Macaca fascicularis: one gene and its partners. The protein of the gene in region 3 purifies or fractionates together with the protein of the main gene of each other region. This does not show direct contact. Links are inferred from orthologs where the notes say so. Each region holds a gene or a part of one and is shown on either strand. Other genes may lie near its edges.

Region 1 (4,547 bases), on a different chromosome or scaffold from region 3:
CTAATGGTCTAATAATTACAGTCTACTTGGGAGATACAAGAACACTCATTTTCTTTTTCCTTTTTTTTTGAGACAGAGTCTCGCTGTCGCCCAGGCTGGAGTACAGTGGCACAATCGCAGCTCACTGCCTCCCAGGTTCAAGCAATTCTCCTGCCTTAGCCTCCCAAGTAGCTGAGATTACAGGTGTGCACCACCACACCAGGCTAATATTTTTATTTTTAGTAGAGGCAGGGTTTCATCATGTTGGCCAGGCTGGTCTCAAACTCCTGACCTCAAATGATCCACCCACCTCAGCCTCCCAAAGTGCTGGGATTACAGGCGTGAGCCACCGCGCCCGGCCAAACACTCATTTTCTTGTTGGAAACCCTGATACACCCTTCCCTACCCAACCTCTCCACACCCACAGTAACCACTCACAATGGTAGAGTGCTTAACATTTTAAAATGTCTACTATCTGTTGTGATTCTGTGAGACAAGCAAGTTAATTCACAGATAGGAAACTAAAAGACTAAAAGTTGAATAACTAGCTGATACTAGTTATTCAGCTAAAAGTTGAACTACTAGCTGAACACTAGTTACTCAGCTGAAAGTTGAACTTTTAAATGTCCTGACCAAGGACCCGCAGGAGTAGATGGAGACTGATGGCAAATCTCAAAGTCCTAACTCCAAATGTCATCAAGAGTTTAACAGTTTAACCCCAGGCAGAGTAAAACCAAGCAAGCCAAGTAGGAAGCAAGACTTACTTGGATGGAACTACAGCTCCATGTGAGTATTGTGGGAACACAGTGACAAGAGATGACAAGACTACTTTACAAATCACTAAATTCTTGAGAATTGGTAACTATTAAAGTTGAAACAATTCAGTTCTACATATTAATTACCCAGATTTTAGAGTCCTCATCCTAGTGAGGAGACAAGCATACACATAACTGCAAAGTAAAGGTGAGAGATGCTCTAAAACAAAGGAGGATGAGTACATAAAGGTTACACAAAAGCTGCGTTTTGAAAGGCAAGCCAGAGTTCAATGGGTATAAAGTGAACGAAACACATTTGAGACAGAGGGAACAGCATGTGTAGAGGCACAATTATTGGCTTTTGGGTCTCTCCCCTACTCCAACTATGGTCTGTAAGATCATCTTGGAACAGAAAAATCCATGTTTCTTTTAGCATTTTGAGACAGAGTTTCGCTCTTGTCTCAGAGGCTGGCATAATCTCGGCTCATTGCAACCTCCGCCTCCCGGGTTCAAGTGATTCTCCTGCCTCAGCCTCCCCAGTAGCTAGGATTACAGGCATGTGTCATTACGCCCGGCTAATTTTTGTATTTTTAGTAGAGACAGGGCTTCACCATGTTGGCCAGGCTGGTCTCGAACTCCTGACCTCAGGTGATCTGCCTGCCTCAGCCTCCCAAAGTGCTGGGATTACAGGCGTGAGCCACTGCGCCCAGCCTCTTTTGACATTTTAATCACCGGAAAGGACCATCTCCCACTGTAATCTAATAAACCACCACATAGCTTTAGATGTTTGGAATTTTGTTAGTATGATCTGATCACTGGAAGACAGATCACAATTTAAAAGCACTAACAGAATTGAGTTTCTGGACCATCATGATAACACCAAGGTGGTGGGCGTGCCTAGGTGGTGAATGGACAAAATAAGGCCATCCCTGCAGAGACAACCCCTAAGCAGCTAGCTGGTCACTCTCCTCTCATACTACAACATTAAGTCTAAACCAGTGATTTCCGAATACAGGAACTGGACACATCAAAACGATGCAGGGAACTTTAAAAATGAAACACAGATTTTAATTCCTACCCTTGCAAATTCTGATTTGGTACTTGTTGAGGAGCTTGGGAATCTCTTCAAAGTTCCCTAAGGGATTCTCAAGTCCAACCAGGCTGCAGAATCACTGCTTTACATCCTGACAAGACAACTTATAATCAAAGGTCCCCCATGGGGTTCTTTTTTAGGATAGTGTACAACGGGATTTGCTACTAAACAGTAAGTAAAAGAAGAAACTGAAGCATTAATCACTATTGTGATGAACCACTTACTTGAAAGTGTTTAAAGATTAATTCAGGATTGAAGTACAACTGAAAAGGTGTGATCAATTCCAACTGCTGAAATAGAAAAAGAGCTTCTTAAAGCAAATCAACCAAGAAACAAAATTTCATCATTTACAACAAAGGATTAGTAGGTCTAGCAATTTCCAACTCTCGGTCAATTACTGATTTTCTTTAAGCCTTTCTTCTTAGGCCAGAGGAAGAGGTTGGTAAAGAATTCTCTAGAATTGGTAGAATTCTTTGTATCCTCAATACCTAACACAAAAAAGTTTATGTTGCAATAGTTGAGGCTGACATGAAGAAATGAGGCAGACAGGTGGTGATATTTTAGACACAGGACAAATAAAAACAGCTGCTATGAATCTACCCACCACATGGGCACCACCTGAAACAGCCGTGTGAAACAACAAAACTCACTTGAAATAACGGAGACTCGAGACCCTGCCACCGTTGGGGCTGGGTACCTCCAGCTAGCCCTTTGTTACCCAGAGACCCTCTTTATTATAAGCCACTCCCCTCTGGACAGTTTCCACCTTGCTTTCCTCATTCCTGTTTCTTCATAAAACGGACCTTCCTCTCACTAGTCACCACGGTACCACCTGGCCATTGGCAGAGCTCTCGGACACATTTCTCGGGTGGGAGGCTCCCGCAACCCTAACCCGGTATAGGTCCGGCCCTCATCTCTTAGAAACTGACCTGACCCCCCATGAAGCAGCACTCCCTTCTCAGGTCACTGGATAAGCATTCTCGGCGCCAACTCGAACCCCAGAGTAATCCCTGTACGTCTCCAACCATCCCCGGGACCAGCCCCTCTGGGCCTCCCCGAAGCCCAAACCCCAGTTTCCTGAAGACCCAGTCATATCCAGCCCAGATAATGAGAAGGTGGCACTGCAGCTGCTCACCACGGCGGCGGTGGTGAGGACGCAGGCCGTGGTGTAGGCGCGGCTGACCGGTGGGATCTGCAGGTACTCCAGCCGCAAGCTCTGGTACGCCATCTTCCCCACCGTCGCCTGCCCCCCTCACTTCCCCTTCCGCCAGCAGGCCCCGGCGGCTGGGCGGGACAAAGGCCTCCCCCGCGCCCGCTTTAGGGTTCCCGCGGCTGCCCAATCAACGCCAAGCAATCGGCCAGCCGCCAATCCGTAGAGACTTAAGGAAGGCACATCCGCCAATCACGAGTTGCGTGGCCACCGCCCCCCCCAGCGCCCCAAGTACAGGTTCCTTCTGCCAATCCCCGCCGGCCACAGCTAACTTTCCCGCCCGGCCCCTTTCTGTCATAATTGACGTGTCCCCAACCAGCCAATCAGGAACGCGAGAGTATCCCGCGTTTACTTTCGCTCGCCGAGGCGCGTATCAGTCGGAATTTTGGGGAGCCAACCGCGCCGTCTGTCGCTGGCAAGCCAGCGGCGGTTTAAAGGAGGTGGCGGGAAGCCTGTGTGTGCTCGAATTCGTGACCCTCATGGTCGCTCCGGTAAGTACTGCAGGGCAGCATTTTCTCTGAGGAGAAGCGGGGACGGGCGAGACTGGCTTAGGCGGCATCGCGAGGGAGCGCGGCGGCCCGTGGGTCGGCCTTACAGCGGGCTCCAACCTGAAGGTCCCAGCATGCAGCGCGGGCTCGGGGCCCGACGGATGCCGGGAGCCGGCCGGAAGTTCCGGCGCTCTGGCTTCTGGGTCCTGTCCAGCGCGATCGCCGGGTCTTCGCTTAACTCACTAAGATGGCCTGGGCACCTCTGCGTTGAATCGGCAAATACTGATCAAGCCACATTTATTCTGCCTTCAGGAACTCTTTAAGTCTAGCAGAGAAGATGAGGCGGTAGAAGTTTATCAGCCAGTGCCCGAAGAGAGGTCCTGATGGGAATTAAAAGGAAGGAGTTAATCAAGGAAGTGTATTTTTTGTTGTTAGCGATGGCGCACATCTGTAATCCCAGCTACGTGGGAGGCTGAGCTAAGAGGATCACTTGAACTTAGGAGGCCGAGGTTGTAGTGAGCCAACATCATACCACTGCACTCCAACCTGGGCGAGAGAGTGAGACTTTGTCTCAAAAAACAAAAACAAAAATAACAACAACAAGAAAATTAGCCAGGCATGGTGGCCTGCACCTGTAGTTCTGGCTACTTGGGAGGCTGAGGTGGGAGGATTGCTTGGACCCGGGAGGTTGAGGCTGCAGTGATCCGTGATTGTGCCACTGCACTCCGGCCTGGGTGACAGAGCCAGAACACGTCTCACAAAAAAAAAAAACAAAACAGAAATCCTACCTTACATATACGGCCAAACAGTTGTAACCACTCTATATTTAGCCATTACAAACGTAAATTTTTATTTTATTTTATTTTATTTTTTGAGACGGAGTCTCACTCTGTTGCCCAGGCTGGGGTGCAGGGGTGCGATCTCGACTCACTGCAACCTCCGCCTGGGGTTCCAGTGATTCTCCTGGCTCAGCCTCCCGAGTAGCTGGGATCACAAGTGCCCACCACCACGCCTGGCTAATT
Region 2 (3,929 bases), on a different chromosome or scaffold from region 3:
CCTCAGTGTTCTGACATTTTATGATAATGTCTCTAAATGAGAATCTACCTTTATCCTTCATTATTTTGGGACCTAATTGGCCCTTTCAATTCAGAAACACAGACCCTTCAATTATGGGACACTTTCTGAATTATTTCACTGATGCTTTTCTCCTCACTGTTTTGTTAATTATGTATCTTGATCACTATGTTTATTAGTTCATGTGTTTATATATACCAATTTACCATGCTATACTCCACTCTTTTGTTGTCCTCCTCCTTAGAGATGAGTCACGCTCTGTCACCCCAGGCTAGAGTGTAGTGGCGTGATCATAGCTCATTGCAGCCTTGAACTACTGGGCTCAAGTGATTTTTCTGCCTCTGCCTCTCAAGTAGCTGGGACTACAGGCATGCACCCACCATGCCCGGCTAATTTTTAAAAAATTTAGGCCAGGCACAGTGGCTCACGCCTGTAATCCCAGCACTTTGAGAGGCTGGGGCGGGCGGATCATGAGGTCAGGAAATCGAGACCATCCTGGCTAACACAGTGAAACCTTGTCTCTACTAAAAATACAAAAAATTAGCCAGGCATGGTGGCGGGTGCCTGTAGTCCCAGCTACTTACTCGGGAGGCTGAAGCAGGAGAATGGCGTGAACCCGGGAGGTGGAGCTTGCAGTGAGCTGAGATCATGCCACTGCACTCCAGCCTGGGTGACAGAGCAAGACTCCATCTCAAAAAAAAAAAAAAAAAAAAAAAAAAAAAAAAAAAAAAATTATTTTTAAATTATTTATTTGAGACAGAGTCTTGCTGTGTTGCCCAGGATGGAGTGCAGTGGTGCAATCTCAGCTTACTGTAACCTCTGCCTTCCAGGTCCAAGCGATTCTCCTGCCTCAGCCTCCCAAATAGCTGAGATTACAGGCGTGCGTGATCATGCCTGGCTAATTTTTGTATTTTTAGTACAGATGGGGTTTCACCAAGTTGACCAGGCTGGTCTTGAACTCCTGACCTCAGGTGATGCACCCACCTTGGCCTCCCAAAGTGTTGGGATTACAGGCGTGAGTCACTGTGCCTGGCCAACCATTTTTTTTTTGAGATGTAATTTCACTCTTCTTGCCCAGGCTGGAGTGCAATGGTGCGGTCTTGGCTCACTGCAACCTCCTCCTCCTGGGTTCAAGTGATTCTCCTGTGTCAGCCTCCCAAGTAGCTGGGATTATAGGTGCTCGCCACCATCCCCGGCTAGTTTTTGTATTTTTAGTAGAGATGGGGTTTCACCATATTGACCAGGCTGGTCATGAACTCCTGACATCAAGCAATCTGCCTGCCTCGGCCTCGCAAAGTGCTGGGATTACAGGCGTGAGCCACCATTCCTGGCCCCAACAATTTTTTTTTTTAGACACAGGGTCTTACTATATTGCCCAGTCTGGTCTCAAACTCCAGGCCTCAAGCAATCTTTCGGCCTTGCCCTCCTCAGTAGCTGTCCTCAAACTCATGCCGGTTCTACCTCCTCTGCTCAACCTTTAAATGTTGGTGGACCCAGGGCTTACTCCTGAGCCACCTTCTCTATTATCAACGTTGTGTCTAGGTGAACTCATCCAGGCTTTGAATATCATTCCTGTGCTGATGATTCCTAAATTTTTATATCCAACTCTTACACTTCTCTCCAGAAATCCCAGTGCCTTCTTGACGTTTCTACTTGGATTGCCTCACAGGCATTTCGGACTTAACATGGCCAAAACAAAAACTGAATTTCACTCAAACCTATTACTCCTTTGGTCTTCCATCTCAGTAAAAAGCACCAAAAACCACTTAGATGCTCAAGTCAAAAATTTAGGAATTGTCTTTGCTTCTACTTTTTCCCCCGACTCCACAATCTATCCAATTCTGTAGATCTACCTATTAATGCATCCCAAATCTATCCTTCTTACCTCTACTGTCACCTCCATTCTATTGCAAGCCATAGCTACAACCATGTCTTTCTCTGCTATACTCCTATAATGATCTCCTAATTGGTCTTCCAAGATCTACTTTTGCCATCCTAAGACCTATGATCTACAAAGAAGCCAGAGTAATCTGAAAAAGGTAGGTCATATCACTTGGCTGCTTAAAATTCTCTAAGAGCACCATGAATTTGATTCTAACTTTTCTTTTTTCTTTCTTTTTTTTTTTTTAAGGCAGAGTCTCGCTCTTGTCACCCAGGCTGGAGTGCACTGGCACGATCTCGGCTCACTGCAACCTCTGCCTCCTGGGTTCAAGCGCTTCTCCTGCCTCACTCTCCCGAGTAGCTGGGACTACAGGCGCCCGCCACCACACCTGGCTAATTTTTGTATTTTTAGTAGAGACAGGCTTTCACCATGTTGGCCAGGCTGGTCTCAAACTCCTGACCTCAGGTGATCCACCTACCTCGGCAACCGAAAGTGCTGGGATTACAGGTGTGAGCCACTGTATCAGCCTGATTCTAACTTTTTTCATTCTGGTTTATAAATCCCTATGTAATCAAGTCCCTGCCTACTTCTCTCTGAACACGTCACTTACAAGAGTAAATCATAATCTGTTAAGACATTCATTTAGCTATGAAATTAAGATAATCTTTTTTTGCAACAGAAAATTGCTAGACACTATTCAATCATCCTATGTCTTCATTTCAAGGAAAGCCCAAGAAAAAAAGTGTTTGAGAAGTCAGGAAATAAGATCTAATTAATAAAATGCCTCTTAGGCCGGGCGCGGTGGCTCAAGCCTGTAATCCCAGCACTTTGGGAGGCCGAGATGGGCGGATCACAAGGTCAGGAGATCGAGACCATCCTGGCTAACATGGTGAAACCCCGTCTCTACTAAAAATACAAAAAAAAAAAACTAGCCGGGCGAGGTGGCGGGTGCCTGTAGTCCCAGCTACTCGGGAGGCTGAGGCAGGAGAATGGCGTAAACCCGGGAGGCGGAGCTTGCAGTGAGCTGAGATCCGGCCACTGCACTCCAGCCTGGGCGACAGAGCGAGACTCCGTCTCAAAAAAAAAAAAAAAAATGCCTCTTCTGGTATTCTATTTTTGGTTCCAATTTTCAGATTTCTGATGATTTCTATAAGCAGAGAAAAACAAGAACATGCTCCTCAGTCTCTCTGAGGTATTGTGCTATTCCTTGACCACTTACCCTGTGGGTAGACACTCTTCTAGTCTCTTGTACTGGTAGCCAGAGTTAGGGTTGATTTGGCCTCCTGGGGTACAGGCTGTAGCCTGGATAGTTAGTTGATGGCAGGCACACTTGGACCTATATGACAGAGAGAAATAAAGGAAAGGAGCGGGGGGATCAGAGAACAAAATAACACAATACACATGTACCCAGGGTTGCTCAGTGTGGCCATGTCAGACTCCAGTCTCCCTACCTCATAGCTTTCATGGAGGCCTTATAGCACGAGTTCCAGGTGAGGGAGGAGGTAAAGGAAGATGGGGAAAGCAGTACAGATACAAGGGAAAGGAAGAGGTGAAAAGGAAGACAACCATAACAAAGTTGGAAGCAGGGGCAGCAATTCTCCCCACCAACTCACTTGTCCCGACACCCATCCTTGCAGTCACAGCCAACCAGAAATTCAGGGCCTGTGTTAATGAAAACACCCTTGCCCGGGATACGTTCCTTGCTGTAGGCCACCTGGGGTGGAGGGGTTGTGTCAATCTCATTGACACAGGATAGGGGAACATCTTCCTTCCCATAGGTGATGTCCAAAATATAGTAAAAAGGCTTATAGGGCTGAAACTTTCGGTCCACAAGAACATATGGATCCAAACAGAACATCTCCAGGAAGAGGAAGTCACAGCCAGTCTCGAAAAGGTAGCGTTCGATCTCCTGCATTGTCCGAAGGCAAAGACCACAAGGTGTCTTATAGATAACATGAAAGCCCATCTTGCGGTTAACTCGACGCCGGGCTGTCATCCGCCGGAAGTCATACAGTAATGGAACCAGCAG
Region 3 (3,929 bases):
CCCATAATCACAACATGTTCTATTTTTTTCTTTCCTTTTTCCTTTTGTTTTTCTCTTAGTCTGTTTAAAGTGGCTATCATTTATTCCTTTTACACTTAAGACCAAGATGGCAAAGTCTCGGCAGTTTGGGAACCACAGGGAGTAAAGTCACAGGTCCGTTACCCGCCGCCGTCTCTCCTCTGCCAACTTTTGTTGTTGCACCTCCTCCTCCTTCCGCCGCTTACGCTCCCGCTCCTCCCGTTTCTTTCTTTCTTTCTCCTGGTCAGCCCTAAGAGAGGCCAGGTAGGCCTCATCCTGCTGTTGTCTCAGCACTTGGGTCTGGTTTCTTTCTTCCCTGTGAACAGATCAAAAGCAAGAGAAGAAAAACAGCACTCTCACAAGTTCTGTTTTCTTATACTGAAATTTTCTGTGTGTGCGCGTGTGCATGCGTGTGTGTGTGTAAAAACAGTGATATTCTTAGCAGATGACTATTTCACACTGCCATAAGGGATTCCAAAAGCAAAGCATGGCAGAATCTGAATAAGCCACCTTTTATCTCAGTTTAATTTGGCAGAAAAGAAAACAGCAAGTTGTCCTCTCCTCTTTTACAATAAAATTTTTCCCCTAATTCTAACAAATGTAACACAGTACTGTTATTATGAAGGGATCATCAACATCATATTTTGGGTTACTGCATTTTTGTACTGATCTCATAAAACCAAAACACACACATATACATCCATATACACATTGTAGCAGATCTGAAAATGTAGAGTTTTCAGAGTGATTCAGAGATTCCCTAATCAAAGATAAAACACTATATAACATTTGGCATAGCTCCTATTTTCTCTCCAACAAATTTCTGTTTTGTCTTACCCAAAATATTTAGCCAATCAAAATAGTTGAACAGATAAAACATTCTTGCTTTATACTTTCTTTAAAAATTAAGACAAAATTTACATGCAATGAAATGCACAGGTCTTAATGTACAATTCAATGAATTTTGATAAATGTAACCACATAATCACCACTTCAATCAAGAAAGAACATTTCAGTTACCTCAGAAAGTTTCCTCTTCTATACATTTTTTTACACAGTTAAAATAACACTATATTTATAGGGTTTTGACCTTGCATTTTTCTTTTATTTGGAGACAGGGTGTTGCTCTGTCACCCAGGCTAGAGTGCAGTGGTGCGATCATGACTCACTGCAGCCTCAACCTCCTAGGCTAAAGCAATCCTGCCACCTCAGCTTACAGACGTGTGCCGCCACGCCTAGCTAATTTTTGTATTTTTTGTAGAGATGGGGTTTCACCTTGTTGCCCGGGCTGACCTCAAACTCCTGAGTTCAAGTGATCTTCTTACCTCAGCCTCCCGAAGTGCTGGGATTACAGGTATGAGCCAACATGCCCGGCCTGATTCTGCATTTTTCTAATATGTAACAAGCATGTCCCCATGTTATTAAAAGCTTTCCATAAATTTAAGTTTGTTTAACTTTCTTGAGGGCAAGTTGGCATTACAAATCAAAAGTCGTAAACATATACTTATATTGTCTCACCCAGAAACTGTACTTTCAGGAATTTAAATTTTAATCTAAGGAAACCATCACAAATTGCAAAAAATTATCTCCATGTATGCTATTTATAATAGCAACAAACAGAAAGTAATCCAAAAATCCAAAAAGAATGGCCTGGTTAAATTATGATGTATTTAGATAATAGAATGTTATGCAGTAATTTTTAAAATGTGGCAGAATATTTAATGATGAGGGAAAAGGCTGTGATACATTCTTACATGAAGAAGGGTTGTAAAAAAGTATTGTCCCAATTTTACAAATAAATGTGTACATATAGAGGGGTGTGTGTTGTGTGTAAAATTAAAAAAATATATAACAATGTTCAAGCCGGGCACGGTGGCTCAAGCCTGTAATCCCAGCACTTTGGGAGGCTGAGACGGGCGGATCACAAGGTCAGGAGATCGAGACCATCCTGGCTAACACGGTGAAACCCCGTCTCTACTAAAAAATACAAAAAAAAAACTAGCCGGGCGAGGTGGCGGGCGCCTGTAGTCCCAGCTACTCGGGAGGCTGAGGCAGGAGAATGGCGTAAACCCGGGAGGCGGAGCTTGCAGTGAGCTGAGATCCGGCCACTGCACTCCAGCCTGGGCGACAGAGCCAGACTCAGTCTCAAAAAAAAAAAAAAAAAAAAAAAAAAAAAAAAAAAAAAAAAACAATGTTCAAGTGGTGGCAGGATTATCAGTGATTTTAAATTTCTTCCTTGTGCTTTTTTGTGGTTTTAGGATTTCCTATAATTAATGTACATAACTTATGTAATGGAGAGGAATTATAGCCATTCCACTTTTTTTTTTTACATCAAAGTTCTTTATATTGTATTCGGCTATTCTAAATACCACAATGTACATTCTTGAGCATAGAGGCCTGTCTTTATTTTGTTTATTCATTCATTTATTTTTTAAAGACAGCGTCCTGCTCTGTCAACCAGGCTGGAGTGCAGAGGCACAATCAGAGATCACTGCCGCCTCCAACTCCTGGCCTCAAGCAATCCTCCCACCGCAGGCTCCCAAGTAGCTGGGACTACAGGCATGTACCACCATGCCTGGCTAATTTTTTCTTATTTTTTGTAGAGATGGGGTCTTACTTTGCTGCCCAGTCTGGGTTCAAGTAATCCTCCTGCCTCAGCCTCCTAATGTGGTAGGATTTCAGGTGTTAGCCACTGCACCCAGCCCTTGTCTTTATTTTGAACATCTCTAAGAACAGATTACCTGATATAGAGTAATTTAGGTCAAACTATGTAAATATTTTGACGATAAATGGGCAAAGCTAAAAGCTAACAGTGGCCTGATGCACAGAAGAAGTCAGTACTGGTAGAGCCCCAGGTCAGCCCTCCAAATTTACAACTGGTCTCTCTCTGTTCCAGAAGGGAACTCCCTTGTACCTTTCTAGGCGTTCTGACACCAGGTAAGTCTGGTTAGCATCCATGATAAATGTCAGTTGGTTAATGAGGTCATCAGGTTGAATGAGGCCTTCTAGCCGTCCCACCACAGTCATCCTTCGATCCTTCAGCATAATCATGGCCAGGAATGGATAGGTGTTCTCTCGTAAAGCCTGTGAGACTGACAAAAAGACCCAACAGATCAAGGGCAGGACTTGACGGTGAAAAAGATCAACCTTAGACTTTTCACAATGAGTGAGAGAGAACTATTTTAATCCTGGTTGAGGAAGACGGGAGGTATCATTTGGTCTCTGCCTTTCCCCACTTCCTAGTTTCTTTCTTTCTTTTCTTTTTTTGAGCCAGGGTCTCACTATGTTGTTCAGGCTGGTCTCCAACTCCTGGGCTCAAGTGACCTGACCACCTCAGCCTCCTGAGTAGCTGGGAGTACAGGCGTGTGCCACCATGCCTAGTTCCTCCCAGTTTTGTAATCTTTTGTTTTTGTTATCAATTTGCATGCCTATCCCTAGGTGCTTGACTAGAATAAGACAGGCTTTCCTGGTGGCGGTGTGGTTGTTGTGATGATGCCAGGGAAGGCTGCAGAGTTCAAGGATAATGTCTACTTGATGGTAGGAAAAGGATCTATAAAGAATCTGGCAGTTTTTCCCTGTACAAGGGCTCAAACCTAAAAGGGCACAAGGCTGCAAGTCTCAGCTTGATGATACTGATGATAATCTCCACCATAGTCTTTTTTCTCTTGCCTAATCCTTTCCTTACCCTTTCTCCCCATGTATCTTTTCTCTACCCGTAAAAAGGTTAGTTTTTCTGTTCCAAAGAAGTTTATTAATAGAAAGTTGAGGCTGGGCTGGTAGCTCACACCTTTAATCCCAGCAGTTTTGGGAGGCCGAGGTGGTTGGGTCATTTGAGGTCAGGGATTTGAGACCAGCCTGGCCAACATGATGAAACCCCATCTCTACAAAAAATACAAAAATTAATAGGGCAT
Region 4 (3,929 bases), on a different chromosome or scaffold from region 3:
ACATGGTGAAACCCCGTCTCTACTAAAAACGCAAAAATTAGCCGGGTGTGGTGGCGGGCGTCTGTAATCCCAGCTACTCAGGAGGCTGAGGCAGGATAATCGCTTCAACCCAAGAGGCGGAGGTTGCAGTGAGCCGAGATTGCGCCACTGCATTCCAGCCTGGTGACAGTGCGAGACGACGTCTCCAAAATAGTAATAATAACAATGACTGCTTTTAGTGAAGACATCGGAGAACATATCCAGACAAATCAGAGAAGTAAGGCCCCCAGAGATCCAATCTGTGTCCCTGGCCACAAAGAAGTGATCCAGGCTGTCCCCCTGGGCACAAAGAGGATACCCATTAATCTTGCACCTCCAGGCATGGTTTAGCCTCAGCTTGGCAAAAGAGTGCCTCCTTCAATGAGGTTAAGTATGTGTGTGTAAACATGCATATGCAGAGAATAATTGAGACCCACTTTCACGAAATGAGCAGGACAGAAGCCCAATGAAGCGTCTATTTGATAATAATGACAATAAAATCATGACGAATAAGAGCCTAATACTGAGCACTACGTGCCCAGTACTATTCTAAATACACGAATTATCTCACCAAATTCTCCCAAAGGTTCAGGCAGAAGGTTCTGTTTTCATCCCTAATTTAGAGATGAAGTAAACTGCCCCAAATCACCCAGCACCTAAGCGGGGATTCACACCCGGGCAGTCTGACTCCAGAGCCTCTCCTCTCCACCACTGTTAGCAGTTTACAAACATGCATTCTGACATACTCTGGAATCTGTTGTTATTAAAAAGCTAAAATGAGTAAACTTAGGCAACATCAACTTATGTTTCCTCACCTGGCCTCCATGTTCCCAACCACACGCAGATAGTTCTTGTGCCGACGAATTCGACGCTGCACCTCATGAAACAGGTAACGAAGCTGCATAAAGATGACCAAGCTAGCCATGGATAACCAGATGTTGCCAAATAACTTAGAAAGAAAGAGAGTAAAATACACGGTAAAAGTGAACATGAACTTGCTAGTGATGAAGGCGCAGTATGCAGCAGAAGCTCTTCACTGTTGGCGATGGTGAACTGCAATATTTTTCAGAAAGGAAATACACAGATGTATCTCATTACTCTAAACAAGGCATATCCTCGTCTGCCTAGGTGCTCCACTGCCAGTCATCTTTCCTGAGAAACTCATCAGAAATGGAAAAGCTTTATGCAAAAAGATGTCTATCCATGAAATTATAAAAGAGAAAATATGAAAATGAACAAAATGTCCAGCAGAAGAACAGTTAGGTTGTAAACTTATATAATGTAAAATTATATACTCATTAATTACATTTATTTATATTATACAACTACATATTACACTATTATATTTGTATATGTAACAGTTCTGAAGGTCAATTATGGGAAGACTATATTAGATAAATAAAAAAAAGCAAGATATAACTAATTTTATCAAACTAATACATGATAAAAAATATGTAAAAATGTGAAATAGCAAACAACCGAATATAATCTAAATAACCCACTGTGAGATGTGGTTTATTAAATCATGGTACAGCTATCTGAAGACATTTTTATCCTGAAAGTATTAAAACGGCTTAGAAGAACTGATGCTAGCATAGGAAAATGTTCATAATACATTTTTAAAACTATATGTCTATATGTCTAAAATATCTCAATTTATGAAGGTATGTACTCAAATACATAAAAAGAAAACTGTTAAAAGAAGCAGTTAAACACAACAAAATCTTCAGGAAACAAGCATGAGGAAAAAAATTAAAATTTAAAAAAAGAAGACAAAAAAATCTTAAGAGTTATCTTTGGCCATTTGTCCCCTTTTTGAGGGGGGAGGGAGGCTTTTTTTTTTTGAGATGGAGTCTCACCCTGTCGCCCAGGCTAGAGTGCACTGGTGCGATCTCGGCTCACTGCAACCTTCATCTCCCAGGTTTAAGCAATTCTCTGCCTCAGCCTCCCCAGTAGCTGGGATTATAGACGTGAGCCACCACGTCCGGCCGAGCCTCTTTTTTTAAAAAAAAGAATTACATGCTTTCTTTAAAAAGTATGTTTTCAAAGTTTCTTTCAAAAAGCAGACTTAGAAATATGCCATGTCTAGCCCAATAATTTTTAAATGATACTTACTGGGCTTATAATTTAAATAAACTGCCCACCAACTATTTTAATTCTCACCATTACTAGATCACTGAAAGGCCAACCAATGAAGCAGATCTATGACACTGTAACTTCTAACATATCAAAGTAAAATGTAAACAATGATGGTAGTAGGAATGTAGGAATTAAGTATAAAGACTTTTTTTAATTACAAAGATGGAAAATGTATGAATCCATGAAGTAGCTAACACTGCAGGAATTCCCATTACCACCTACAAAGTAACTGCTAAATATTTAAAGCCATAGAAACTGGGGAAAGGCAGCTCCTTACTTTCATGCTAAAAGAATAATCTATTGACTTGGTCAGCAGAGTTAACTAAGTCTCCCAGGACAACAAACACCTCCTGAGTTAGGCACCAGCCAAAGCAATTCCACGGCACTGCCTTACACCCAGTGGCAAAAAGAGGGAGGGTTTGCAGCCACATTCATTTTTAGTCTTTTAAGTAGTCCATCCGCATCTTATTCCTAAAGTTTCATTTTTTAATAAAGAAACCATTACTGTTCCTGATTCTGAAAGGCTTGCCCTCTGTTAGAGCTTCTTCTGAGGAAACTTACCAACATGTGAATATGGTGCATGAGGTCCAGGGACAGGAGAGTGAGCTCCATGACGAAGTCTGTGTAATAGACGTACGTCCCCTTTCCTTCCCACGTCCCTTCGTGATTGAGGTCCCAGAGGTGAATTACGTATCTGTAATGAAGAGAGAAAACACCTTAGTAATTTACTGTTACAACTGAATTTGGTTTAATCATACTGTAATTTAGTCAGATTTTTATATATTTCATACCTGCTACATCTTAAAATCAACTGTATGAGTAGGCCTCAATCACCTCCCTCTCCAGTTTCACTCACCGTAAAATCACATGTGCAGTCCTCACTGTCACAAGAAGAGACTATAAAAAAGGATATTTTCTTTTTAGTAAAATTTAGCGTTGCTCAGACCAAACTTATTTTTATAAAATGATAAAAGACAAACATTTCTCAGTTCAATTAAAAAGCAGATTGTTCAAGTTTACCCATTATTTTATTTTCTCTGCTTCAAAGTTCCATAAAATATTTTTATGACATAGAAACTCAACTTTTATTGAGGAAAAGTCCTGTTAATAAGTGACAACCAATTACACCTATCCCCTGGGAATCCCCCTACAATCTTGAGGTTTATCCTGGTAGTTTGACCATCAATTCTATTTCACACAGCATTAAGTCACTATCACTGATTACTCAGAAGGGTGATGCTGTAACTCCAAGTATAGTTCAGGTACTGCTATCGTAGACATGAGGACCTGCTCTCTCCCTAGTGCTTTGTGCACTCCCTTTGTCCACCAGCAGAAAAAAGAATGAAAGCAAGCAAAAGCAAAATAAGGCCAGCCACATCACACCTTTAATCCCAGCACTTTGGGAGACCAAGGCAGGAGGATTGCTCAAGCTCAGGAGTTCAAAACCAGCCTGGGCAACATGGTGAAATCCCATCTCTACAAAAAAATACAAAAATTAGATGGACATGGGGGCACGTGCCGGTAGTCCCAGTTACTTGGGAGGGTGAGGTGAGAGGATGGATTGAGCTTGGGAGGTGGAGGCTGCAGTAAGCAGAAATTGCACCACAGCACTCCAGCCTGGGTGACAGAGCCAGACCCTAGACTCTGTCAAAAGCAAAAGAAGAGAAGAGAAGAGAAGTGAAGAGAAGTGAAGAGAAGAGAAGAGAAGAGAAGAGAAGAGAAGAGAAGAGAGAAGAGAGAAGAGAGAAGAGAAGAGAGAGGGGAGAGGGGGA
Region 5 (3,929 bases), on a different chromosome or scaffold from region 3:
TTTAACTCTGAACAGTCCTGTAAAATGGCTAATCCATAGTATTTAATATAAAAATGCTTAAAATTGCTGACTAACAAGCTAACTTACCCTTCCTTGGGCAAAATCATGGGTAAAAAACTGATGGGCCAAGAAAAGACACCCCACTATCCTGTGACTGCCCATTCCCCAGCCCACTGCTTCGTACTCTGGAGCTGCATCGGGTCCCTCGGCAGGCTCGGTGGGCTGAGAAGCCTCCTGTAATGCTGGAACCTAGCTGTCAGTGGTCCCTGGCTAAAAGAGTAACAAGAAGGCAATGGAGCCAAGGCTTTAATGCCTGACTTCCGGTGACTATGTGACGAGGATAAGTCATTTGTTGCCTTAGGTTACTCCATCAGATGGGGCATGGGGCTAAATCATACTCCTCATGGAGCTCTTATTAGGATGTATTAAGAACACAGGCAATAAAATGTTAGATGAGACAGGACAAAAACACTTACAAAAACTGAGGTGTGGATAGAAAATTTCTTCCTCCCAAGTCCATTGGGTATCTGAACATTAGGAAAAAATAAAGATGTCCAACCAGATTTCCAATAAGCTCATTGATTACCCTGCAAAGAGAGCCAAATGAGTTTAAAGACATTCAAGCAATATAGTGAAACGAACCAAGTTTTAACTAATATCATAAAGAAGAGAGCCTTCAAGGCAGACCATTTAGTCCCTGGGAGTCTGTGAGAGCTGACAATGAGCCCTTTTGTAGTCCGAGTGGCAAACGCATTCTGAGGGAGCCGGGAAATCAGTCCTGCTGAACCAATGAGGCCCGCCACTCTTCAAGGCCAGCAGCCCCTCCGACATCTCTTTCAAGCACCAGCCCATCCTCAAAATATTGTTTTTGCTACTTCCTGCCTCAAGAGTTGGGGAAGTTGTAAAGCATGCTTCTGAATGCTTCAGTCATGAATACTGTATTGATAAAATGTGGGCAAACATGAAGGCTACCAAGAGAGAAGCGTGGGAGTAAGGAAAAGAGGAACAATAAATGCCTGTTCCCCATTTCCTGGAACTATTAAGCACTTCTCTCTTGCCTCTTGTACCCTTGAGTGTAAGACACCACAGAGATCACTTAGGAAAGCTGACTTGCACCCTGAAATCAACGCTGACCTTCTTCAGTTTTCCCATGGCTTACACACAGGTCACCTCAAGAGTGTATAGATCTACTGTTACTATTACATATCCTGTTTGTCTTCACCTGCAACATGATTCCTGTCAGGGACAAATCAACACCTGCAACTACTTTAGACTTCGCCTTCCTGGCTGGAAGAGCAGCTTTACCAAGTTCAGAACATGCTTTGCTCTGAACAGTCCGCTCCATTCATTCTCTTCTCCCCAACAATATGCAGAAGAAGTCAGGATCACACAGAGCAAGTATGTCAGATACATGAAGAACCAGCACTATAAAAATCGATTGAAATATTAAAAAGTAGTTTGTAGTATAAGAAATGGGAGTTCTGGTGGGGTGCAGTGGCTCAAGCCTGCAATCCCAGCACTTTGGGAGGCCAAGGCGGGAGGGTCATTTGAGGTCAGGAATTTGAGACCAGCCTGGGCAATATGGTGAAACCTCATCTCTACAAAAAATACAAAAATTAGCTGGGTGTGGTGGTGCACGCCTGTAATCCCAGCTACTCGGGAGGCTGAGGCATGAGAATTGCTTGAACCTGGGAAGCAGAGGTTGCAGTGAGCCAAGATCGTGCCACTGAACTTCAACCTCGGTGACAGAGCGAGACCCCATCTCAAAAAAAAAAAAATAATAAGTAAATAAATAAACAGAAAATATGAAGAAATGGGAGTTCTTAGAGAAGCTCCATCTTAGTACCCTCCCTTTAAAATTCTGACTGGATGAATTAAAGGTATTCCTATGTCTAGTTCTAATTCCTGACCAATAGACTAGATATTTGACCCTGGTTGGCCAAAAGCTCTGTATTATCAGCTAGGCACGGTGGCTCACGCCTGTAATTCCAGCACTTTGGGAGGCCAAGGCAGGCAGATCATTTGAGGTTAGGAGTTTGAGAACAGCCTGGCAAACACAGTGAAAGCCCGTCTCTACTAAAAATAAAAAAAATAAAAATAATAAAAAAAATAGCCGGGCGTGGAGGCGGGTGCCTGTAATCCCAACCACTCAGGAGGCTGAGGCAGGAGAATCGCTTGAACCATGAGGCAAAGGTTACAATGAGCCAAGATCGCACCATTGCACTCCAGCCTGGGCGACAAAAGTGAAACTGCATCTCAAAAAAAAAAAAAAAAAAAAGTTCTATACTATGAAACCACTTGCAAAATTATATCCTATCTAAGAATCTGGATTTCTATGACTGATCGGCAGTCTCCAAGGCATTCTGGAAATGCCTTAAGAATATAAGACATAGTAATTTTATACATAGCTCTTAGAGGAGTCAACTCAGACAAAAATTAGGTCTCTGTCAATCTGAATAGTGAATCCAGAAATACATATTTATTCCTATACACACATAGGAACACACTATGTGTAACAATAAGTTAACAAAATCGCAACCATTCAATGTTAAATGTGCTTAAAGCCCCGCAATCTAATCAATTCCATCGAAGTAAAATTATCCCATAAGTACAAGGTTCTAATGCATCAATGTTGGGATTCTTTAAAGTTGTATAAAGGTTAGAGAAAGATAAAAACTAATGGAAATTTCCCAAGGATTAGTTTCCAATTAAATAAATCTAATATCACTTACGAGCCTCCGATGATATAGTTGAATCCAAGGATAACCCAGGGTAAATAGCAGGCCTAGGATGGAATAAATATATGCAAATGTGAGTAGCCACACCTGACGAGGACACAGCTACTACTGGGACTAAAATGGGTAAGGATACACTGACAAGGGCTTTATATAAATCCTCTGGAAGGTCACTGCAAAATTTCTCAAATCAATCTAGCATTATTCCCACTATACTTAAACCTTCCTATCTAAAACTAGACTTACTTGTGTATTTGTAACTGGAAGGACACAGTACTTTGCCCACAGGTCTGCTGCAATACAGGCCCTGCTGAATTGCTATTAACAAACAGCTTCAAAAAGCAGATGAGTGTCCCACAGATGCTACTAAAAGCAAGGCCCATGACAGAATCACACTAAGATTCCAGCCAACAAATTGTTACAAATAAAATAAACATACCTCATCTTTTCAAGTTCTTCTTTTATATATCTTGCAAAATTACTCTGAATTTTTATCTCATCACATATTGATATCTTAAACTAATACTGTCCCAAATAAGAAAGCTCTCCAGATGAACATTTGAGCCCCTTACCAAATCCAAGCCATCATATCAAGAGCTAAAGGAGTTGCAAGAAACTTCACAAACTAGGAAAGAGAGGGTTATACTTAAATAACTTTACAGCTACATGTGGTAAGTACTAAAGAGAAACACAAAGTATTGAAAAAGCCCAAAGGTAAGATGAAGTATAGGCAGGAGACTCAGGAAATATGTTCAGTTCCAATTCAAATTAAGAATGGGCAGGATTTACACGAAAAAGAGAATCAAGATGTTACAGGTGGAAAACTGTGAAAGAATGTACAAAGAGAAGTGTTTGGGGGCAAAAACAGTCTGTTTCAGCTACAGTATAAAGCAAATAACAGGGAATGAGGGAGTGATAAGAACTGATTTGTAAAGGCAGGGTTTCACATGAGTTCTCTCTCCTTCTCTCTAACACAGACACATAAGATCACTCAGGGACATATCCCTGAGGGGCCTGAGGTAGAGAGGGAGTGAAAAAACAAAAGCCAGCAACAGACTCCAGGTTGGCTAATTAAATAGAGCTGGGATTGAGGAGGGCAGAAAGGGGCTTGCCTATGGTACACTGCTCTGCAGTGACCTCTTCTGGGTGAGTCAGAAAGTACATCTCTGGACTGAAGAGGGATTTCTGCAAAGA
Region 6 (4,456 bases), on a different chromosome or scaffold from region 3:
AGGCGCCTGTAGTCCCAGCTACTTGGGAGGCTAAAGCAGGAGAATCGCTTGAACCGGGGAGGCAGAGGGTCTCCGTGAGCCGAGATCGCGCCACTGTACTCCAGCTGGGGGGAGAGAGGCTCCGTCTCAAAACAAACGAACAAAAAAAAGACTGAAAATGAACTTTACAAATAAAGCCTAAAGAAGCAAATAAAAGTCATACTTTTGCCTTCTAAAAATAATCAATGTTAACATTTTGGCCCACTGGAACCTCTCTTTGAGGGTAGGGACTGTTGATCTACGAATCTCAGATTTAGCACACTGGCTGGCACTTATGAGCACTGAAAAAGCTTTTTTTTTTTTTTTTTTTTTTAAAGTACTCCATAGCCCATCCCTTTCATTTAGCTGGGTAGTGTGGTCAATTTCCCCATAATATACATTCTTACATAATTGTATGTATTTCTGGGGTACAGTGTGATGTTTCCATACATAAACACATTGTGCAACGATCTAATCAGCGTAATTAGCACATCCATCACCGAAACACTTGTCATTTCTTTGTGGTGAGAACATTCAAAATCCTCTCTTCTAACTATTTTGAAGTTAACATTATTGTTGAGTATAGTCATCCAAATGTGCAAGAGAACACTAAAACGTATTCTTCCTAACTGTAACTTTGCGCCTGTTGACCAGCCTCTCCCCTTCCTCCCTCCCCACTAACTCTCCTCTGTACAAGAATCACTCTTTTACTCTACTTTTACGAGATCAACTTAAAAAAAAACTTTTTAAAACGACTGCATAATATGCTTTCATGCTCACACTCATTTAAAAACCGTGACTTTGGCTGAGTAACTTCATTCTTCTAGGGGAAAAAATTTAAATGGTCTGAGTACGGAAGCTCTCCGGGAAGCTCGCCAGGGCACAAGTGCTGGGTCGCTCCGCCGGGCTCGCCGCGCCGGGGACCCCCAGACACCCGCCACCACGGCGGGGAGGGCAGGGTGCTGACTCCTGGGGCCACGACACTCGGCTCCGGTGGTGGGGATTCCGCGCGGGACCCACGAGGGAACAAAGAGGCGGCTGGACGGCCCAGCTCTCCGCACCCGGAGGGACCTGTTCCACCTCTCCGGCTCCCGTACCCCTCCATCCGCATCTGAGTGACCAGATCCCACTGCAGTCAACAGCCCGCGGGGTAGCCAGCTTCGAGGGACCGCCCGGAAAGACACAACGCGCGGGGAAGGCGCCGGGCGTCCAGTCTCGGGAGAGATTAGAGATGGCGTTCCTGCCCAGCGCCGGCAATCCAGAGGAATCCGCGGCCATCGCGGATCCACTAGAGGTGAGGCGGCACTGAGCCCAAGTGTGAGGCTCCCGGGAGCTACGCCTCCGCTGCCCCAGTGCCACCCGTTTTTGCCTCAGGCGGCTCTGACCGCCATCGTTTCAACCTGGAGAGATGGGCCCTCCCCTACGGACGCACTTCCCTTCCCCGGCAGGAAGGAGGGTGCTGACCCAGGGGGCACACGCCCCTGGCTGCGCATGCGCCATTCATCCGCGGCGAGTGGCCTCGCGGAGCCGGATTCGTCGTTCCGCCGGGAGTGCGCCTGCGCGGTCGCCGGGGCTCCCACCTCAGCTTCCCCTCCCCCGGCCCCCTCGGGGGCTCCGAGCCCGGCGGGACCATGTTCACCAGCACCGGCTCCAGTGGGCTCTGTGAGTACCGGCCTCCGCCATTCTGGCTGCCCCCTGCACGCTACCCTGGGCACCTCATTGAGGAGGCGGGGGCAGCGGGGACCCTCGGGTTTGCCGGAGGTGGTGGGGCCGACCCTCCAGACTGGCGTCCGAACCCTGCTAGTTCCTGGTCTTGGGGGGGTCAGCGGAAACCGTCTCCATTTCGGCCTGGAGGGGCTAATGGGAACAAAGCCCCGCTGCCCGCCCGGACCCCACCTGGCGTCCCCAGGTGCGATGCCCAGGAGTCTCTTGGGGCCGCTGCAAGTGGGCAGGTGCCCTGGTGTTCTCGTGGGCCGGCCCCAGGCCCTTTGCGGCGCGTGTGCCGCGCTGAAGGAAGGGGCGGTCCCCCTCATCTTGCCCCATTCATTTAGGCTCCTGGGGGACCGAATTGACTCCCCCCGCCCCCACTTGGCAAAGTTCAGCCTCCGCTTTAGAAGCTGACCTCTCAGTTTCACTTGGATGTGTTTCTTCTCCAGTCTCCAAGAAGAGTTTTTAGACAAACAAACACTGATGAGAGTGCTTTCAAGTGGAGGGAAGTTAGGAAGTTGTGGCGAGGGAGCGCAGCTGTGCTGCTGGATGTTGCTGTTTTCTTGGCGTGTTAGCGGTGGTCAGCAGGTAGGGGGCGGAGAAGTGTTTTTACAGCCAGTTGAACGGCTTTTCTCACTGACACTGAGTGTGTGGAATTGACTTTGCGTACGGTAGACTGCGTGTTAACAGTTAGGCACGGGTACAGCAACGGAGAACTGCTCTAATTTTGCAATTGCTTGTCACTGTTCATACTCCGTGTGAAGTTAATGCTGCTGGAGGACAGAAACATCTGACATTTCCAAATATTAAAGATCTGTTGGGAATGTCATGAATCTTCTGAGAATACGTGTCTTGTCTTATAGTCTGACAGTAAGTTAGTATCAGAGCCACAGGCATGATTTTAAATCTTCCTCACTTCTCAATTTCTCAGGTTTTGAAGTGGTTTCAGTATTTATGATTCCTTTTGTTTCATAATTAATTTGATTTATGGCATCTTTCATGCATTGGTCCCAGAGTATGTTACAACTACTAACTAATCTTCCCCAGCCTGGCTTGGTGGCTCATGCTTGTAATCCCAGCACTTTGGGAGGCCAAGGCAGGCAGATCACCTGAGGTCAGGAGTTCGAGACCAGCCTGACTAACATGGAGAAACCCTATCTCTGCTAAAAATACAACATTAGCGGGGTGTGGTGGTGCATACCTGTAGTCCCAGCTACTCGGGAGGCTGAGACAGGAGAATTGCTTGAACTCGGGAGGCGGAGGTTGCAGTGGGCCAAGATTGCGCCATTGCACTCCAACCTGGGCAACAAGAGTGAAACTCCGTCTCAAAAAACAAAACAAAACTAATCTTCCCCAAACTACCCTGTAGATAAAGAGCGTTATGACTGTTGCTGAAGCTGACAGCTCAAGAAGGCGGTGTGGTTTTCCTGGGATCATACAGTGAGCCAGGTACTGGTGGTTATGAAATTAATGGTAGAATTATTCAATTTCTGTTGTTCTTTAGCATTTAGATCTATTCTTGCTAGCCAAAGTACATAGAAAAAATTTGAAGGGCAAGAGAAATCTGTTATTGGTTGCTGTACTATATTAGCCATGAGATTATATTGGCCAAGTGTATTCAAATTTGATACAGGGCGACTGTGGGGAAGATAATATTTTATTATCTATGGCGCATGGTGGTGAGTGTTGAATTCTAGGAATCAAACTGTTGCCCAGGGAGAGACCTAGGCCCAGAGCCCCTCTGCAGCTGTCTTGGCCTGTTTCTAAAATTAAGTGCCTCTGCAGTGTAAGAGTTGTTGGGATGGCCGTTCCTCAGAAGGCTGTGTCTTACATGCTCGTTTTACAAACATTTTGGGCATCTCCTCTGGGCAATGAACTGGGCTAGGTGCTGGGAATGCAGCAATGAGCAGGTCCTGGTCTCAGTGCTTATGGTGCTGACGGAGCTTGGGCACAGTTTTCCAGGACTGGTCATTAGAAAAGGCTGTGTGTCAGCTTTAACATTTTTCTCTGGAGAAGCTACCCACTGAGGGGGAAGTGATTTCCTTCGTTTTATTTATTTATTTATTGAGATGGAGTCTCACTCTGTCACCCAGGCTGGAGTGCAGTGGCAGATCTCGGCTCACTGCAACCTCCACCTCCCGGGTTCAAGCGATTCTTCCCCCTCAGCCTCCAAAGTAGCTGGGATTACAGGTGCCCACCATCACACCTGACTATTTTTGTATTTTTAGTAGAGACGGGGTTTTGCCGTGTTGACCAGGCTGGTCTTGAACTCCTGACCTCAAGTGATCCTCCCTCCTCGACCTCCCAAAGTGCTGGGATTACAGACGTGAGCCACTGCCCATGATTTCCTTTAGATAAGTTGAGGGACCCTTTAGCAAATCAAAATTCTGATCCTGAGTAAGAATCTGAAAGAAGGATGACACGTGTGCCTATCCCCACCCCCATGGGTGGTGAATAACAGTCCCTTTCCAGGGAGAAATCCCTGACATTTCCTGCCACCTGCATGTTTCTAACGTTTTGTGGTTAGTAGATAATAGTGATTTAGTGTTAAACTTGCCTTTCTCTCTCAGCCATTCAACAAGTGTCTGTTGAGTACCCATAGCAGCCACACATTGTTGATATACAGAGGATAAAGTAATAAGCAGGATAAAGGAGACCAGCATCAAACAGGTCAGTGTGATTCACATAGTGACAAGTGACATGAAGACAATGAAAGGGTAACTGCAAACAC
Region 7 (4,552 bases), on a different chromosome or scaffold from region 3:
CTGGTGCCTTCTGTAACCAAAGCCTCAGGAAATGCTTTCCCTGTGTGATCTTGATGCCTCCAGCCCTCTCCTCCACTACCTGTAAGGTGGCCCTGATATGACACATGCATTTCCCCTGTAGTGGACAGCTGCCATTTGCTGCCACCATTGAGGACATCCATTCATCCAGCCCTCCCCCAGAGCCTTCTGTCCCTTGCACAGCCCATGTGTGTCCAGGGAAGTGACCCCATGCCTAGCTCCAGGAAGCCAGCCCTGACGGATAATCACCCCCTACCCCGGCCAAAATGATTGGACGCACAATCCAGTTCCGACCAACAAGGGTGTTTATTTGCTGGAGGCATCTGAGACAGCAGAGGTGCTACAGAGAAGGTGCTGCTCTGGCAGTGAGGCAGTGAGGGAGGGATTCTGTGGAAGCTGCAGGCAGCCACCTTTTTATCCTTGGAGGTGGTGGCCTGGGATGTGGCAGACACAAACGCAGAGGGAGGCAGGAAGACACTGGAAGAATTGCTCCCCTGCTGCCAATGCCGATACCACTGGGCTTTTCACTTTCATAAGCCAAGAAATTTCCGTTATTGATTAAACAAATTGCCTTTATTGTTAAACCAATGATTGGATATCAGAAACAGCCTAGCTAATATAGCTCCTTTTGGATAAAAGTGGAAGTCTCACATTCACCTTTAATGTTATTTCATTTTCCAAAATCAATTTCCTGGCACCACGCAAACAAGAGCACTGGTAAATGTATCACCTGAGCTGCAGGCCGCCCATGCTCACAAGTGTGTCCCTGCCATAGGTGGCTTTGAAGCCATATACATGGCTCTCCAGCTCTCGTGGGGGGCCAGGGGCTTCTGTGTGCTCTTCAAAGCCTTCACCCATTGGGCCTCTGTCCATCTTTCCAGCCCGGGGACCCAATATTTGCCCCATCAGGCCCAGGCAGGAGGGCCTCCAGCACGTGCAGCCCCGACCACACTGTGAGCGGCTCACTTGGCAAGGGTGGAGGGCCCAGAGTGGCGTCCTCCTGCTGTGGCTTCCTTCTAGCCTCTACCACCCCTGGGGGCCTCCAAGGAGCAGGTGGCTAGATGTCCTCTTGTGCCCATGCACAGGGCACAGTGGAGAAGGAACCGGAACCCAGCCCATGTTTCTGTCCCCACCCTGGCACCCCAAGGTTTCCTCTCAGGCAACAAGGAGCACACGAAGTGAGCGGTTGTACACAGGTGGCTGATGTGTTCATCTTCCACAGGGAGGCGAGTGCTGGGGACGAGGACAAAGGCCTACGCCCAGTCCCAGTTCTGACATTGCCTTGCTGAGTCACCCATCAGCCCTAACGCTTCCTGGAGGAGACAAGCAGACAGGGTGCCCAGAGAGGAGCTGTGTCACTAAGGGCCAGGACACCCCATCTCTGGGTCACACTTGGCCACTGCTTCGCTTTTGGCTTCAGTTTGTTTACTGAACAGAAGGGAGGGGGGCACTGTGAGACGAAGGACACTGACTCAGGTCGGGGAGTGGCCCTCACTGTATAAAGTCCGTGGCTGGGGACCAAAGTGGCACTGAGACTCCCCCGAAGTCACATCACAGAGCTGGGGTGACTTGCTGACTCCCTGGCCCCAACCTGCTTTTTCATTTGTCGAAAGCACACTGGCTGCAGCAGCTGGTGGGGGTGTGGTGGTTCCAGGGCTGGCTGTCACTTGGCCTCCTGCAGTGGTAAGCTGAAGGCTATGTTGGACCCGCCAGAGGTCAGGTGACAGCTGCTTTCCCTTTCAGGATTGGGAAGGAGTCACCTGAGGGTATATTCTCAGTGGGCTAAACATGACATGCCAGAGCCCAGCTCTCCAAGCAGCCCCTTCCTCCTTCTCACACCAAGGCACTTTCAGAAGCCGCTGGATTCCGACTGGGGCTCCGCCACTTCACCGCCAGTGCCTCTGCTGTGCTGGCTCACCTCTTCTGAGGGTGTGGAAGCAAACCCAGGTCAAGCTGTGAGGAGTGCCTAGCACGTGGCCAGAGCCAGGTACATGCCAGCTATTATTATGAGCCCAACTGCAACAGGTGAACACACTTAGTGCGACATGCTGCTGTGGCCTGGCACTGGGCACCTCCCCATGCTCCGAGAATGCTATTTGGAGAAGCCTTTCTCCATCGTCTCAGTCACTTCAGGGTGCAGGAAGCGGCTGGCCAACCGTTCGATGTCGTCCAGCGTCAGGCGGCTCAGGGACCTCTCGTAATCCTGGGGAGAGAAGGGCAGGAAGATTCAGGGGCTGCCAGTGGGGAGCCATACACTGCAACAGAGGTAGGGGCTGGGAGGAACTGGGCCTGGAGAGGATACCCAGGGTTACCCTTCTCACCCTCTGTAGCTGTTCCAGGACCCTGCTGGCATCTGCCGCACTGAAGTGGCGGGCCAAGACTTTGGAGATTAGCTGCCAGACATGCGGGGGTGGGGAGTCGGCCAGCCTCTGGGCCTCGCCTTCTTCTAGTAGCACCTTCTGCAGGGGTTTGACCACTAGGTTGAGCTTGGAGTTGGGCCCGATGCTATAATCCGAGAGTCGTTTCCCATCTGCCAAAGACAGATCGATGGGTTCCTCCTCCTCCGCCGCCGTGGGGGTGGCCCGGGACGCGAGACCGCCTCGGGCGGCGGGAGCGGAGCGCTGCGGCATCCGGCAGTGAGGCATGCGGCCGCCTCCCTTGGGGTCATGTGGCGCTTGGCGCCGGCACCCCAACCCGTTACACGGCTGCCGGCCTCGGCCCGCGCACCCCAGTCCCGCTTCCTGCGGGGCTCCCTGGGCGTCTCCTCTCCCTGGGTACCTGCCAGGGCCTTGCCCTTGAAAAGCAGCCGTTGCTGGCGCACGGGGACGTTCAGCTTCTCGGAGACCAGCTGCTTCAGCGTGGACACCAGCTCGTCCTCCGGCACCTGGCCGCGCGGAGGGTGGGAGGCAAGGGTTGAGGCCGCGGTCCCCAGGCGGCGAAGCCCACGCGTCCGCTCCCGAGGGCAGCTCTCCCGGCTCCCAGTCCCCGGCCCGGCCGCCCCGTGCCCGCCCTTGGCCCTGCTGGTCACCCTGCCAGGAGCCGGCGAGAGAGCGCGCCGGACCCGGCCGCCCGGCCCGGGGACCCTACCTGCAGGCTGCACTCCCGGCCCTGCAGCGCCTTCACCGTCAGCTGCATGGCGGTCGCGACGGCGTCCACTCGGGCCGGCGCGCACCCCAACCACCCCCCGCCGCGCGCCGCCGCCCCGGGCGCGCGCTGGAACCGCCCGCCGCCGCCGGAAGCAGCGAGAGGGGCGCGCCCGCCGCCCGCGCTTCCCGGCCCCGCCCTCCTGCCTCGTCCACGCCCCGGCCCCGCCCCCCGGCCCAGTTGCACCCCGGGAGGAGTGCCCCTGGGGTCCCGCCTAGCACACGCGCAGCGACCGCCCTGGCCGGCGGACCCCTCCCAAAGCAACAGCGCCGGGGAGTTGGGAGCAGGAACTAGTCGGGCCAGGTTGGCGTCATCTGGGAGCTAGGGAATGGAGAAGGACCAGAAGGTACGCTCGCCCCCGCAGACTGCCTGGACCACCCCACGCGCCGTTACTGCTGGCGGAACCTGGCCCTGCATACCCACAGACGGCCCCCCTGCCCCCGGCTCCCTGCCTGGTGGCTTTCTGGCTCCTCCTTTCTGGTCTGGCTGCGAAACACCCCACTGAGCTTGAGAGGGGGTGGGGGGCCAGCCTCTGCCCTCATCCTCCCACCTCTCCTACAGTGGGGACACGCCCCGGGAGGGCTGATAGAGAAAGCCTATGCAGGGGTCACCGTGTCACCCAAGCTGGCCCTCCACCCTGGTCCACACCTACCCAGCACACTCTTTCTACCCCCACGCCCAGGCCCCAAAGGGCAAAGATTAGAAGGGACCCAAGCTTGCTTCTCTGTTTTATTGAAATATATTTTCTGGGCAGCGCCCACCTACCTAACTCAGCATGGCCTCTGTGGCACTGAAAGCTGGAGAATAAAAAATCAGTAAAAAAAATAAGCCTGGATTTTTCTGAGTGCATAGTGCATGAGAACTTTGGTGGAGTGTGGGGGCTGGGGCTGATGAAAGCTTGACCCAGAGGCCTCAGGAAACTGGGAACAGGCTACTGTAGATGCAGTGGCCAATGACCAAGGCCAGCATCTCGGAGGTGCCGCTCAGCGCCACAATGAAGGGGGCCTGGGAGGCATAGTCAGCTTGAAGGCGGCGGAGGGATAGCTGCAGCATGGCCAAGGCCAGCAGGCTGTTCTGCACCCCTACCTCAATGCTGACCGTCCGCCGCTGGGCCACAGGCAGCTTCAGACATGTGGCCAGGCAGTAGCCCACCAACAGGCCAACCAGGGGCACTGTGATACCCACCAGTACGATGGGTAGCCGGACGCCTGCCAGGATGAAGACCCCCATGCGATAGGCCAGGAAAAGGCCGCCCAGGAGGAGCACAAAGCTGAAGGGCTTGATGACCTGCAGCAGCAGCTGGGAGAACTTGGGGAGCTTGGACTTGATCAGCACGCCCACTGCTATGGGGATGGCGATGAACAGCAGGGTGCCCAGGATTTTGGAGATG

Evidence for each region.
Region 1: the proteins of FAF2 (region 3) and DERL2 purify together in Homo sapiens (affinity purification with mass spectrometry; 5 studies listed by BioGRID and IntAct, counting the BioPlex papers as one, with this or other methods). This does not show direct contact. The link is inferred for Macaca fascicularis from reciprocal best matches to the Homo sapiens genes FAF2 and DERL2.
Region 2: the proteins of FAF2 (region 3) and SETDB1 purify together in Homo sapiens (affinity purification with mass spectrometry; 3 studies listed by BioGRID and IntAct, counting the BioPlex papers as one, with this or other methods). This does not show direct contact. The link is inferred for Macaca fascicularis from reciprocal best matches to the Homo sapiens genes FAF2 and SETDB1.
Region 4: the proteins of FAF2 (region 3) and AMFR purify together in Homo sapiens (affinity purification with western blotting; 9 studies listed by BioGRID and IntAct, with this or other methods). This does not show direct contact. The link is inferred for Macaca fascicularis from reciprocal best matches to the Homo sapiens genes FAF2 and AMFR.
Region 5: the proteins of FAF2 (region 3) and DERL1 purify together in Homo sapiens (affinity purification with western blotting; 4 studies listed by BioGRID and IntAct, with this or other methods). This does not show direct contact. The link is inferred for Macaca fascicularis from reciprocal best matches to the Homo sapiens genes FAF2 and DERL1.
Region 6: the proteins of FAF2 (region 3) and UBAC2 purify together in Homo sapiens (affinity purification with western blotting; 7 studies listed by BioGRID and IntAct, with this or other methods). This does not show direct contact. The link is inferred for Macaca fascicularis from reciprocal best matches to the Homo sapiens genes FAF2 and UBAC2.
Region 7: the proteins of FAF2 (region 3) and UBL4A purify together in Homo sapiens (affinity purification with mass spectrometry; 3 studies listed by BioGRID and IntAct, with this or other methods). This does not show direct contact. The link is inferred for Macaca fascicularis from reciprocal best matches to the Homo sapiens genes FAF2 and UBL4A.

Annotation. Positions count from the first base shown.
Region 1 is NC_088390.1:5,551,091-5,555,637, forward strand, and holds the start of DERL2 (derlin-2), read right to left. Parts: upstream 3,082-4,547; 5' UTR 3,056-3,081; coding exon 2,963-3,055; intron 2,118-2,962; coding exon 2,052-2,117; intron 1-2,051.
Region 2 is NC_088375.1:110,286,091-110,290,019, forward strand, and holds part of SETDB1 (histone-lysine N-methyltransferase SETDB1), read right to left. Parts: coding exon 3,514-3,929; intron 3,237-3,513; coding exon 3,120-3,236; intron 1-3,119. UniProt on the Homo sapiens protein: Histone methyltransferase that specifically trimethylates 'Lys-9' of histone H3. H3 'Lys-9' trimethylation represents a specific tag for epigenetic transcriptional repression by recruiting HP1 (CBX1, CBX3 and/or CBX5) proteins to methylated histones.
Region 3 is NC_088380.1:183,396,245-183,400,173, reverse strand, and holds part of FAF2 (FAS-associated factor 2), read right to left. Parts: intron 3,111-3,929; coding exon 2,933-3,110; intron 335-2,932; coding exon 163-334; intron 1-162. UniProt on the Homo sapiens protein: Plays an important role in endoplasmic reticulum-associated degradation (ERAD) that mediates ubiquitin-dependent degradation of misfolded endoplasmic reticulum proteins.
Region 4 is NC_088394.1:52,463,482-52,467,410, forward strand, and holds part of AMFR (E3 ubiquitin-protein ligase AMFR), read right to left. Parts: intron 3,055-3,929; coding exon 3,014-3,054; intron 2,852-3,013; coding exon 2,719-2,851; intron 968-2,718; coding exon 834-967; intron 1-833. UniProt on the Homo sapiens protein: E3 ubiquitin-protein ligase that mediates the polyubiquitination of lysine and cysteine residues on target proteins, such as CD3D, CYP3A4, CFTR, INSIG1, SOAT2/ACAT2 and APOB for proteasomal degradation.
Region 5 is NC_088382.1:132,671,344-132,675,272, forward strand, and holds part of DERL1 (derlin-1), read right to left. Parts: intron 2,786-3,929; coding exon 2,733-2,785; intron 588-2,732; coding exon 477-587; intron 1-476. UniProt on the Homo sapiens protein: Functional component of endoplasmic reticulum-associated degradation (ERAD) for misfolded lumenal proteins. Forms homotetramers which encircle a large channel traversing the endoplasmic reticulum (ER) membrane.
Region 6 is NC_088391.1:90,109,181-90,113,636, forward strand, and holds the start of UBAC2 (ubiquitin-associated domain-containing protein 2), read left to right. Parts: upstream 1-1,505; 5' UTR 1,506-1,509; coding exon 1,510-1,927; intron 1,928-3,094; exon of another isoform or gene 3,095-3,174; intron 3,175-4,456. UniProt on the Homo sapiens protein: Restricts trafficking of FAF2 from the endoplasmic reticulum to lipid droplets.
Region 7 is NC_088395.1:160,486,027-160,490,578, forward strand, and holds UBL4A (ubiquitin-like protein 4A), read right to left. Parts: upstream 3,198-4,552; 5' UTR 3,154-3,197; coding exon 3,106-3,153; intron 2,903-3,105; coding exon 2,797-2,902; intron 2,549-2,796; coding exon 2,340-2,548; intron 2,222-2,339; coding exon 2,111-2,221; 3' UTR 306-2,110; downstream 1-305. Other genes in the region: SLC10A3 (P3 protein), read right to left, coding at 4,075-4,552. UniProt on the Homo sapiens protein: As part of a cytosolic protein quality control complex, the BAG6/BAT3 complex, maintains misfolded and hydrophobic patches-containing proteins in a soluble state and participates in their proper delivery to the endoplasmic reticulum or alternatively can promote their sorting to the proteasome where they undergo degradation.